3 linked regions of the Ovis aries genome follow. The protein of the gene in region 1 purifies or fractionates together with the protein of each later gene. This does not show direct contact. Links are inferred from orthologs where the notes say so. Each region holds a gene or a part of one and is shown on either strand. Other genes may lie near its edges.

What was found. The genes of interacting proteins can lie anywhere in the genome.
Region 2: the proteins of CHEK1 (region 1) and CUL4A purify together in Homo sapiens (affinity purification with western blotting; 4 studies listed by BioGRID). This does not show direct contact. The link is inferred for Ovis aries from reciprocal best matches to the Homo sapiens genes CHEK1 and CUL4A.
Region 3: the proteins of CHEK1 (region 1) and HAX1 purify together in Homo sapiens (affinity purification with mass spectrometry; 3 studies listed by BioGRID and IntAct, with this or other methods). This does not show direct contact. The link is inferred for Ovis aries from reciprocal best matches to the Homo sapiens genes CHEK1 and HAX1.

The regions. Positions count from the first base shown.
Region 1 is NC_056074.1:26,501,334-26,504,833, forward strand, and holds part of CHEK1 (serine/threonine-protein kinase Chk1), read left to right. Parts: intron 1-1,211; coding exon 1,212-1,276; intron 1,277-1,370; coding exon 1,371-1,440; intron 1,441-2,361; coding exon 2,362-2,550; intron 2,551-2,947; coding exon 2,948-3,052; intron 3,053-3,500. UniProt on the Homo sapiens protein: Serine/threonine-protein kinase which is required for checkpoint-mediated cell cycle arrest and activation of DNA repair in response to the presence of DNA damage or unreplicated DNA.
Region 2 is NC_056063.1:85,882,324-85,886,417, forward strand, and holds the start of CUL4A (cullin-4A), read left to right. Parts: upstream 1-1,294; 5' UTR 1,295-1,695; coding exon 1,696-1,849; intron 1,850-2,310; coding exon 2,311-2,426; intron 2,427-4,094. Other genes in the region: PCID2 (PCI domain-containing protein 2), read right to left, coding at 1,156-1,191. UniProt on the Homo sapiens protein: Core component of multiple cullin-RING-based E3 ubiquitin-protein ligase complexes which mediate the ubiquitination of target proteins. As a scaffold protein may contribute to catalysis through positioning of the substrate and the ubiquitin-conjugating enzyme.
Region 3 is NC_056054.1:104,558,398-104,562,504, forward strand, and holds HAX1 (HCLS1-associated protein X-1), read left to right. Parts: upstream 1-1,307; 5' UTR 1,308-1,375; coding exon 1,376-1,428; intron 1,429-1,949; coding exon 1,950-2,254; intron 2,255-2,392; coding exon 2,393-2,580; intron 2,581-3,007; coding exon 3,008-3,059; intron 3,060-3,182; coding exon 3,183-3,289; intron 3,290-3,418; coding exon 3,419-3,509; intron 3,510-3,657; coding exon 3,658-3,743; 3' UTR 3,744-3,922; downstream 3,923-4,107. UniProt on the Homo sapiens protein: Recruits the Arp2/3 complex to the cell cortex and regulates reorganization of the cortical actin cytoskeleton via its interaction with KCNC3 and the Arp2/3 complex. Slows down the rate of inactivation of KCNC3 channels. Promotes GNA13-mediated cell migration.

The DNA of each region.
Region 1 (3,500 bases):
TTTTTGTTTTTGCAACTTATGTCAACACTGAATGCATATGTAGAATCATCAAAGAAATTTTCCCCCAAGTTGTATAAGTGATTTTGGTTGGCATTTCTGTTTTGTAGAGTTTAAGAATGATAAGCTGTGGTTTCTTGGTGCGTGAAGTATCATAAGTGCAATGTATTGTATGCCTATGCAGTTTTAGACATTCTAGTCTCATGAAATTGTTGCATTCATTTATAGATCTGAAATAAGAGGTTATTATATAAGTGAAATAATTGAGAATTTTATAGGATTTATATATATATTAAGTACTATTTTTGCTGCTGCTGCTAAGTCACTTCAGTCGTGTCCAACTCTGTGTGACCCCATAGACGGCAGCCCACCAGGCTCCCCCTGTCCCTGGGATTCTCCAGGCAAAAACACTGGAGTGGGTTGCCATTTCCTTCTCCAATGCATGAAAGTGAAGTCGCTCAGTCGTGTCCGACTCTTAGCGACCCCATGGACTACAGCCTACCAGGCTCTTCCATCCATAGGATTTTCCAGGCAAGAGTACTGGAGTGGGGTGCCATTGCCTTCTCTATTTTTTGTTTTGCTACTTAAGATTAAAAGTCTTGATATTAAAGAATACTGAGAATTACATAAAATATTCTGTGGACTTAAATTTATTATTTAGATGTATTAATAGTTGAAAAGTGATTATTAGAATCTCCAAAAAGATGTATCTCAGAAAAGAATTGAGTATAAAAGAAATCAATTCATAGACATGCATGGCTTTGTGGTGTGAGAAATTATATGAAATTTAAATTTCTTGTATATTTAGGAAATCGGCTTAGATTTGCTAGGCTTCCACTTTGACAATTACATTTCAGGAGTAGAAAAAAATATTGGCATAGCATTTAGAAGAAATCAGGGGTGAATTTGAAGGATATAAATCATAAGTAGTATAAGTCGGGGCTTTCAAGGTATATCTTGCATTCTTGATTTGGGTTATATTTTGTTATTCTCTAATTTTCCTGTGATGTTAATTTATTTTTGCCACTTAACAGTTGGGGAAATGTGAGTTGTTAGCAATATATGTATTAGTGGACTCCAGAATAATTTCATTGTAAGCATTAGATTCTCTTTGCAAAAGTGCGATCATAGATGTTAAACTTTAGAATTAGGAAACTATGTGGTTGATGCCTGACTATATTTACCTGATAAACTAACTTTCACAATTCTTATAGAGCCAGACATAGGCATGCCTGAACAAGAGGCTCAGAGGTTCTTCCATCAACTTATGGCAGGGGTGGTAGGTACAGTGGTCTCTTTTCCTTTCATTTAAAATTAGTCTTAGTGAAATAAGTTACTCAGTTCTGGTATGCTTCCCTCTGCTTCTCTTTTAGGTTTATCTGCATGGTATTGGAATAACTCACAGGGATATTAAACCCGAAAATCTCCTATTGGATGAAAGGGGTAAGTTTAGCATTTTGTCACTGCTACCAAAATCATTTTAATACAAAGGCGGGATCAAGGCTTTTGCATTACTGAAACTTCAGGGCAGCTTCTTAATCTGCCACTCAGTTACGGTAAATATTCAGTAAGTATAGTTAAGGTGAAAGTTCTGCCTACAGTTTGTGTGTCTTAGAGGTGGGAAGTTAGAGAGGAAATTTGCTCTTCTTATTTGTTTTTGTGCAGAGTTCCTCCTCCTTTTATAAACATAGCCACCTTGATGAGAAGCTCTGGAGGTCTGTGGATCTTGAGTTTCTGTGTGTCTTTATATGCTTCCTTCCAGCCAGCTGGGTTTTTACATCTCTGAGAACGTTGTGCCTAGAGTATTATTGATACCTCGTGCCTCTGCATAGCCGGGTGAGGACATGGCTCTGCTCTCAGTGTTTAAGTGCTCCTTTCTAGAAGACCCTTTTGACTCCAGGATCTTCCTCTAACCTGGTCCATGCTGTTTGTATATTGACAGTATTTGTCTTAAGTTAATAGAAGCCGTGAGGCCTTTTTCTAGTTTTAGTTATATGATGATGTCTTTTATTTCTTCTTTATTACAATTTGTTTTTGATCACTTTAAGGTAGAGAAGTTCCACAAATCTAAAATAACACCAGCAGTTTTCCAGTAAACCTTGACTCCTTTAAGTATTTGTGTGTGTGCTCAGTGGCTCAGTCAGGTCTGACTCTTTGTGACTCCATGGACTGTAGCCTGCTAGGCTCTTCTGTCCATGGGGTTCTCCAGGCAAGAACACTGGAGTGGGTTGCCATTTCCTCCTCCAGGGATCTTCCCTGCTCAGGGACTGAACCCGAGTCTCGTGCATTGGCAGGTGTATTCTTTTGCCATTGCACCACCTGGGAATTTACATTCAGTGCCATCGGTTTTTTCCTTTGACTTAGATAACCTCAAAATCTCTGACTTTGGCTTGGCAACCGTGTTTCGGCATAATAATCGGGAGCGTTTGTTGAACAAGATGTGTGGTACTTTACCATACGTTGCTCCAGAACTTCTAAAGAGAAAAGAATTTCATGCAGAGCCAGTCGATATTTGGTCCTGTGGAATAGTACTTACTGCAATGTTGGCTGGAGGTAAGAGCTGTTCAATCATGATAAAATTCCTGTCCTTTGGAAAGCCATGTTTCCTGTACCAAAATAAATGAAATAAATCATGTGATAGTATGTTAATATTAACCTATTTATAACTAAGTTGGAACTTTTAATACCAAAGATTTAAAACAATGATTTATGTGTAGCTATTAAATGAAATATCATAGTAGCACTCTCTTAAAATTATGTGAACACTTTTCGAAATAGTAAGACAGAAGTGGATTATCTATCTTAGAAGTGTCTTTAAAATTTCTTAAACCATATTTAATTAATTTGAAGAAAACTTTTAATGGATTTGTGTCACTGATTATTTTCCCTTAAAATCATTACTGTAAAATGATTTGAACATTCAGAAAACCGAGTCTTGTTTCCTTTTTAGAATTACCATGGGACCAGCCTAGTGATAGTTGTCAGGAATATTGTGATTGGAAGGAAAAGAAAACATATCTCAACCCTTGGAAAAAAATTGATTCTGCTCCTCTAGGTAACTGGGTTATTTTGATATAAAGTACTGATTTCCTGGATAATGAAGCCTAGTGCTGTTTGAATGTTTTTCTTACCTATATTTTTCTCTTTAACTTTTAATTCATTATATAAATAATACATGATCTTTGTAGATAAATAGAAAAATAATAAATAAAATATTAAAAATCCAACCCTATAATTCTAGTACTCAGAAATAGCTTCCTTTAATATTTTGATATCTGCTTCTGTGTTTTGTAGTAGAAAATATGTAAGTATATATGTTTGTTATATATGTATATTATTTATAAGTATATTTGTTTTCACAAAAAAAATGACATCACACTATACATGTTATTTTGTAAACTTTGTGTGAGTGTGTGTGTTAATGCTAAGTGAACACTTTTTCATGATATACTTGTAAGTATTCATCACTATTTTTAAAAGCTGTGATGGTATTCTGCTATATG
Region 2 (4,094 bases), on another chromosome or scaffold:
ATTTGCAAGCTTTAAGTTAAAACAAAAGCATGTATTTGTATTTTCATGATTCTCGTTTGAACCAGTTTTCTCAATGAACCATTAACCATTACGTTAATGGTTCCAAGCTTGTTATACTATATTCAGCTGCCAACTAGATATCTTTGCCTGGTTGTCAACAGACACCTCCAACACAACACGTCCAGAACAATTTATTTTTACTTCCAAATCGGTTCTGCTCATCTACTGTAAAGCTAGAAACCTGGGAATGAATCCTGATTCCTCCCGGAGCCGGAACCACACTAAGTCCTGGCAGTCTTCAGATATTTTTTAAAGGCCATGTGCCGCCCCTCCCTTTCCTTAATCCTGTCACCAGGGTTCTAGCCCTGCGAATGAGCACAGCCCAGAGGAAAGACTGTGTTCGTCGTTCAGCCGTGTCCCAGTTTTGGCGGCCCCATGGACTGTAGCCTGCCAGATCCCTCTGTCCATGAGATTCTCCAAGCAGGAATACTGGAGTGGGCTGCCATTCCCTTCTCCAGGTGATCTCCCCGAACCAGGGATCAAACCTGGGTCTCCTGCGTTGCAGGCGGACTCTTTACTGTCTGGGGCACCAGGGAGGCCCTTACAGTGTTTATGCCACGCTGTGCTTAGCCGCTCAGTCGTGTCTGAGTCTTTGGGACCCTATGGGCAGTAGCCAGCCAGGCTCCTCCGTCCATGGGATTCTCCAGGCCAGATACTGGAGTGGGCTGCCATGCCCTCCTCCAGGGGATCTTCCCCACACAGGGATCGAACCTGAGTCTCCTGCACCGCACGCGCATTCTTTACCGTCTGAGCTATCAGGGAAGCCCTGCTTCCAGCAAAGACTGTCGGCTTTCGATCCGTCGATGGCTGTGTTCGCGCTGTGCTCCTGCGTCTACAGGCTGTGTGGACACAGCCCCGAGAGACGCAAGCCCGCGGGGCGCGGCCCGCTCGCAGGCGGGCCCCGGCTCTCCGCGTCCCCAGCTCCCACCGCCCCTACCCCGAGGGCGCGGCCGGCCCCCGGGACCCACGTCGGGTCTGCCTGCCGCCCGGCGGCCGGCGGCGCGGGCGCAGCCGGCGAAAAGAGTCCCTCCGCGCGGCCACCCCTCCGCCCGGCCACCCCTCCGCCCGGCGCGGGCCGCAGACCGGGAACCCCACCTGCTGCAGGTACTGGTTGATGGTGATGTGCGCCATGGCCGCGCCCGCGCCGCCGCCGCGCGTCACTTCCGGGCCGCGGTCCGGCCCCGACCCCGCGCCCCCGGCCCCGCCTTCCGCGCGCGTTGGTTCCGGAGGCGGTGTGTGCGCCGCAGCGCGAGCCCCGGGCCGGCATGGCGGCGCGCCCGGGCTGAGGACCGCCGGGGGCTGCGCTGCGACTGCCCTCCCCGCTCGCGCGACCGCCCCCTCGGCGCCGCGGAGCCCGGGCCCGCCGCCCCCTCGGCGGCTGCGGGCTCCTCACGGGCTCCTCACGGGCCGGGCCGCGCGGGCTCCTCGCGGGCTCCTCGCGGGCTCCTCACGGGCTCCTCACGGGCCGCGCGGGCTCCTCGCGGGCTCCTCACGGGCTCCTCGCGGGCTCCTCACGGGCCGCGCCGGGGCGTTCGGTCGCGGGCCGGGCCGCGCGGGCAGAGCGCGCGAGCCGGGCGGCGGTTGGGCCGGGGAGGCGGCGGCGGGAGGCCGGGCCGGGCCGGGGCGGGCGCCGCCATGGCGGACGAGGGCCCCCGGAAGGGCAGCTTCTCGGCGCTCGTCGGGCACACGAACGGCCTCACCAAGCCCGCGTCCCTCGCCGCGGCCGCCGCCACCGCCAAGCCCGGCGGCGCCGGCGGCTCCAGGAAGCTCGTGATCAAGAACTTCCGAGGTGGGTGCGGGCCGGCCGGGCGGGCGCCGCGGGGCCCGAGCGCTGGGCGGGCGGCGCGGTCCCCCCTGCGGCGGCGCGGCCCCGGGCGGGCGCTCGGGCGGGCGGCCTCCCCGCCGGGGGCGGCTTCGGGCAGCTCGCAGCGCGGAGGGGAGGGTAACTCTTCCGCGGCCTCCCGCTTGGGAAGTCCGCTCGTTGAGTGAAAGAGCACTGAGATTTTTATGCCTTCCCCTCGCGCTCACAGCGACCGTCTTCGACGTGTTTGCTTAGTGAAACGAAGGCGGAACGGCTGCAGAGTCTGTAACCCGAGGGATTTATAAACATGGCACCTTGTACGGGGAAAACAATGGCCCGCGTTCCTTAGCTGTGTGTCTTTGAAGTACTTTTTTCGTAGAGTGGTTTTTTAAAGACGTGTGATTGTTGGCATGGGTGCCGTTACCTACTGACTGTGTCTGCACTTACAGACAGACCTAAATTGCCTGATAACTACACTCAGGACACCTGGCAGAAGCTTCATGAAGCGGTGAAAGCCATACAGAGTAGCACCTCCATCCGCTACAACCTGGAAGAGCTCTATCAGGTAAGCGTCCACAGGCGGCCAGGAGCAGAGCTCCATAGCAGGCTCGCTGAGATGGAAGCCTTCCCTTCCCTTAGGGTGCTGGCATCCTGCTTTCCGCTTACCTGACTTTTTTATAGTTGTCTAAATTGCACCGTAATCCAGCTCCGGTGAAACGTGACGCAGCCGTGGATTCTGTGGTCCCCAGTGTTGTTTCAGAGACAGTAGAAGAGGGAATAGAGTCCAAGTATCTGCCTCCACCAGAAACAGCAGGAGCTCTGTGGCATCCTGTCCCAAGTCAAGGACTGTTTTCTGGTTTTGGTGGTTGTGGGATTTTCATTTCATTTTCAGGCTTAAGCTGTTGAAAGGTACTTAAATTTAACCCATTTATAGGAGAGAAACGTGTTTCCAAGAGCCATAGGACATTTTCCAAATATGCAGCAGATTATCATCCATTATGTTGTGTGTGAAACTCTTACCTACGCTTTAGGCGATAGAATAGCATTTCTGTTAATATCTAGCTTCTCTATTAAGAGGCTTGAGTTCAAGTTTTTTTCTCTAGGAGGGTTTGGGGGAGGATGGGTACATGTATGTGTGTGGCTGAGTCCCTTTGCTGTTCACCTGAAAGTTCAGCAGCGTCATTAATTGGCTTTACCCCAGTGCAACATGAAAAGTTTACAGTTGGATACTTGTAAAAAATAAGCAAAACCTTTTCATGTTTACATGAGCAATTACATTATAAAAATTATGGAAACTGCAGAAAGTACATGGAAGGAAATGAAAATCCCTGATATTCCTATCACCCAAAGAAGACTGCTGTTGACAGTGAACATATGTGAACATATGTGCCTTCTTTGTCTTAAGTTTAAGTCTGTTGTGTGTTTTAACCACTTAATTAAGCTATGGAATGTGTCCTTGAGTAAGTTTTATCAGACGTGTCCACTTGCAGAACATTCTGTCACCACAGACAGTGCCCAGAGGCCCCTGTGCGGCCAGCCATCCCTCCTCACTCCCAGCCCTTGGCAATCACTGACTTGCTGTCTGTTGGTACATTCTGCCGTTTCTAGAACCTCATCTAAATGGAACCGTGCCTCTCGCGGTCTCTCGTACCTGGCTCCTTTCACTTAGGGTAACGCTTCTGCACTGCGTGTGGGCCTTCTGACAGTAACTGGTTTCTTTGTTGCCGAGTACTCTGGGCACCATGGTTGCTTATCGTGCGTTAATGGATGTCTGGGTTTCATAAGACATTTCATAGCTTTTCAAAGTGGTGTCATGATTTTTTGTCTCTGCCAGTGGCGTGTGGGAGACTCAGATGCTCCGTGTCTGTGCCAGTGTCTGGTAGCGTCAGTCTTTACCTTGTGCTGGTCTAGTTTGGTATGTGGTAGAATTTCACCTTGGTTCTAATCTGCAGCCCCCTGATGATAGTAAGTGTCTTTTCCTGTGCCCATCGCCGTTCCTGATGCCTGCTTTACTGAAGCGTGTGCTCGCGTCTTCTGCTCATCTCTTGTGGTCTTGCTTATCTTCTTACCGTCACGTGTTTGGGGCCATTATGTCTTCTGGGCACGTGTCTTATTCCAGAAATTTGCCTGGCGCTTGTGCTCTCCCAGTTTACAGCTTGCCTTTTGAGTCTGTTAACTATGGCTTTCGGAGAGCAAAAGTTTTGAATTCTGATGAAGTCTGTATCAGTTTGGT
Region 3 (4,107 bases), on another chromosome or scaffold:
GGTTTTTTTTTTTTTGTACTGTGTCCTCAAATTTAATGGATTAATGTGTCTTGTATATATAAAAAGAAAACCTCTACCTTCAGCCTCTGCCCATTCTTGCTCCGTCTAGGATGTCCTCAGTCTCGTCGATGACCAGCTTGGTGAATAAATATTACTGTACCAACTGGGCCTTCTCTAGCAGGCCCCGAAGGCGGTGGAATAAAAACGAAATCTTCGCCCTTTAAGAACTCCTCTGACCTTAATGTGCTGCCCTTGAGGGGATTCCCTCGCCCTCCCTCAAAAATTTCACAGTGGTGCCTGTAAAGAATCATTGCAAATGTTCATTTCCGTCATCTGTAGCAGATTGTAGGCAGTGAAGGGAGTGGGATAGCTGATACTGGGTGGAAAGGGAGAGGATTAACCAAGAACTGAAAGAAATCGCTTTGTATTGATAGAATCAAAGTTTAATTTAGATGGGTCCGTGCAAATGAACTGGAAAGAAATGAGTGCGAAATATGCACTGTTGGCTAGCAAAACTGAAGCAGTAGATCTTGCTGTTTGAGTGTTTTCATTTCACATAGCTAATATCCACACCCTTGAAGAGGAGGAGGCTGGAGCAAGGCCAGGTTTGGGAAGGAGGTGAGGGCACAGAGAGGGGGAGAGGCTTTGAAAGTCACTGATAGGCAAAAGGGGACACTTACACCTCCAAATTCTTCCTTCCCAAAACTTGACTAGATTTCCCTTGCGCTCTCACAAAGTTTATTCTGATGGTTGCAGAGCCTACGTTGGCAAACTACTTAATAGCTGGAGAGATGAAGTTAAATCCATGCATTCCTGTGTCTTTTACTCTGGGGATGTCATTATTAAAGTAGAAGGAGCTTGATACATTTTGTCCATTCCTCTAATACTAGACTTAAGTCAGGCGAGAAACAAACGATGAAAGAAGGGAGCGGGTGGGTTTAAGGCAGAACACTGGTCCGTGGGTGTGGTGAGTCTGCAATGAGGAAGGGTCTGGGTCCGGTTAATTTCTGTGGGTGGAGTGCCCTCTGGCGGCTGTCTCCAGTGCCATCAAGCGTCAAACCCTCGAAACCCTACTGGAGTGGGTTGGTCGGCCTAAAGAATTGGCTTAGAGGGCAAGTGTTCGTTGGGAAATAAAAACTCAGTACGCCCGCTCCCTTCACAGGAAGCAGGTGGGGGCAAAAGTGAAAGCCTTTAGAATTTGATAGGATCGCCCGCCCCGCCCCTCAGCGACGTCCGGCTTACGGTTGTTTTACGACAGTGTGCGATCGCATGCTTGCTTTCCGGCAGCGTGGTCTGACGCTTCGCTCAATTTCCGACAGCGTAGCTCTGGCTGCTACCCGCTGTGGGCTTCAAAGGTTCGAGTCCCACTACGGGAATGAGCCTTTTTGACCTCTTTCGGGGCTTTTTCGGCTTTTCTGGACCTCGGAGGTGAGAGCGGATTCCGGCCAGACACGGAGGGGCGGGAGTACTCGGAGGGGAGCTTGACCCTGGACACCCTATTTTTGGAAAAACATCCTTTTCTACCCTCCTAAAACTCCTGCGGGGAAAAAAAGGTCAACACTGAACACTCACCCCCCGACAGTAACCAGGGCGGTCGCTAAGAGAAGAAACAGCCGCTTAAGCTTTTCTCCAGTTTAGGGTGATGTAACAGGGGACCGGGTGGGGAAGACAATGGGCTCTGGAGTCGAGGACAAGTGAGCAAGACCTTGGGGGAGGGCAGGGGCTGGGAAACACTTAAGAAAAGCCGCAGGGAAGCGCTGGGGGCGGGGCGGGGTGGGGTGGGGCACCAGGTGAGGACTGACGTTGATGAAGCAAAACAAACCCGATGGCCAGTCCTCTACCCTCACTCCAGGCCCTCAGATCCCAACTCTTGTCCTACTCGTCGAGTCTTAGCTGATGCTATGGTTTAAGTGCTGAAATTTTGGTGGCTAATCTGCCTCCACCCCTAGCCACAGAGATCCCTTTTTTGGAGGAATGACTCGCGATGAAGACGAAGATGATGAGGAAGAGGAAGAAGAAGGAGTCACGTGGGGCCGTGGGAACTCGAGGTTTGAGGGTCCCCAGCCCCCTGAGGAATTTAGCTTTGGCTTCAGCTTCAGCCCGGGAGGAGGAATGCGTTTCCACGATAACTTCGGCTTTGATGACCTAGTACGGGATTTCAACAACATCTTCAGCGAGATGGGGGCCTGGACCTTGCCTTCCCGCCCTCCTGGTGTGTGGATGCTCCTGGGGAAGAACCTGTGGTTTCTACTGGGTCGGTGGGTGAAAAAAAAAGACTTGCAGAGAGTAGTTGGGGGTGTTGGGAAGTGTGAGAAAGCTGATGATTTCAAGGAGATTTAAAAGAGCCCAAGTCCTTTCCTACTCCCAGCATCCACCTGCCACCTTTCTGCAGAACTTCCAGGTCCTGAGTCAGAGACACCTGGTGAGAGACGGCAGGAAGGACAGACGCTTCGGGACTCAATGCTTAAGTATCCAGATAGTCACCAGCCCAAGATCTTTGGTGGGGGCTTGGAGAGTGATGCAAGATCTGAATCCCCCAAACCAGCACCAGACTGGGGCCCCCAGAGACCTTTTCATAGGGTGAGTACATCTGGGCCTGAAGTGGGAGCTGTGGAGAAGACTGCAAAGACTGGAAACCTTGCTGGAATCTAACAGACTTGGGTTGTATTTGTCTGTTTTCTATATTAAGCTTTGTGTAGGATTTTCTTTGGGAGGAAATGGGAGTTCTGCTTTTTGTTAAAAATTACTGTAGACGATGCTTGGAGAAAGCAGAAATGTTTGAAGGAGGACAGAAAAGTGTCAGTTCAGGAATGCTTTTTTGGTAGAGAAATACATGAATCAGGTAGGAAGGAGGGGGAGTGAGTAAAGAAAGCCATCCTGCTGGGATCATTTCTCCTGAAAAAAAAAAAAAAAAGTAGTTTTGGAACTTGGAAATAGGCTGGGTTCTGGGGCCCCTCAAACTTCAGATTGAAAGGTGTCATTTGACCTACTTTGGCTTCTTCTACAGTTCGATGATACGTGGCCTGTGACCCCCCACTCTAGAGCCAGAGAAGACAATGGTAAGTCTGGAGGGAGAGGACATTTACCAGCCCTTTGGTGTCCCTCCCTGAAATTTCTGTCTGCCACATTTGTCCCCTTCTTCGCTTTGGACTCTTTCTTGTTTCCTTTCTGTGCCCTTCTAGATCTTGATTCCCAGGTTTCTCAGGAGGGTCTTGGCCCAGTTCTGCAGCCCCAACCCAAAACCTATTTCAAGAGTGTCTCTGTGACCAAGATCACTAAGCCAGATGGGGTGAGTTGGGAGAGATGGGTAAAGGCAGCTGTGACCAGAGAATGTTCTGGAAAGGGGGACTATGTAAAGAAACAAGTGAACCCACCTTTAGTGATGTTAGGGATATGGTGGGGGGACTTCTTCTTGTAGACTATAGAGGAGCGCCGGACTGTGGTGGACAGCGAGGGCCGGAAAGAGACCACAGTAACCCATCAAGAGGCAGGCGGCAGTCCTAGAGATGGTAAGTGAAGAGTATAAATCAAAGGGATCCATCTCTTAGTTCCATGGGAAAGGGAAACTGTTGCTCTCCTACCATTAAACATTGCTGCCCTCCTTTGCCTCTTTCCAGTCTCCTTCATTTAGCCTGTGTGTATCACTCTTTCCCTTAGGTCCAGAATCACCAACACCTCCATCCTTGGATGATTCCTCTTCCATCCTGGATTTGTTCCTAGGACGTTGGTTCCGGTCCCGGTAGCCTTGTTAATTAATCACAGAGACCTTTAGATTCTTTCCACTTCCCACCCTTTGCTTGGTATTAATGGGCTTAGTTGTCTTCCTGCCACCTCAGGACCTTGGGTGTGTGGAACAGTGAATTGAAGGTCTGTCAGTGTGTCAGTCACCCAAACTGACCAATAAAACCTTTATTTATGCTAATTCTTTGGTCTTGGTTTTGTCGTGGCTATTCCACTTTCTCACAGTATCCAGGGCTTCCCAAATTAACTTGGCCCACAAAAGATTAGCTCTTTGCTTTACTTGCAAAACTGATTCTGATAAGTAAGGACCAGGTACCTTTAGGAAATGATTTTCCTTGTTAATAAATAACTAGTGATAGTTCCAGG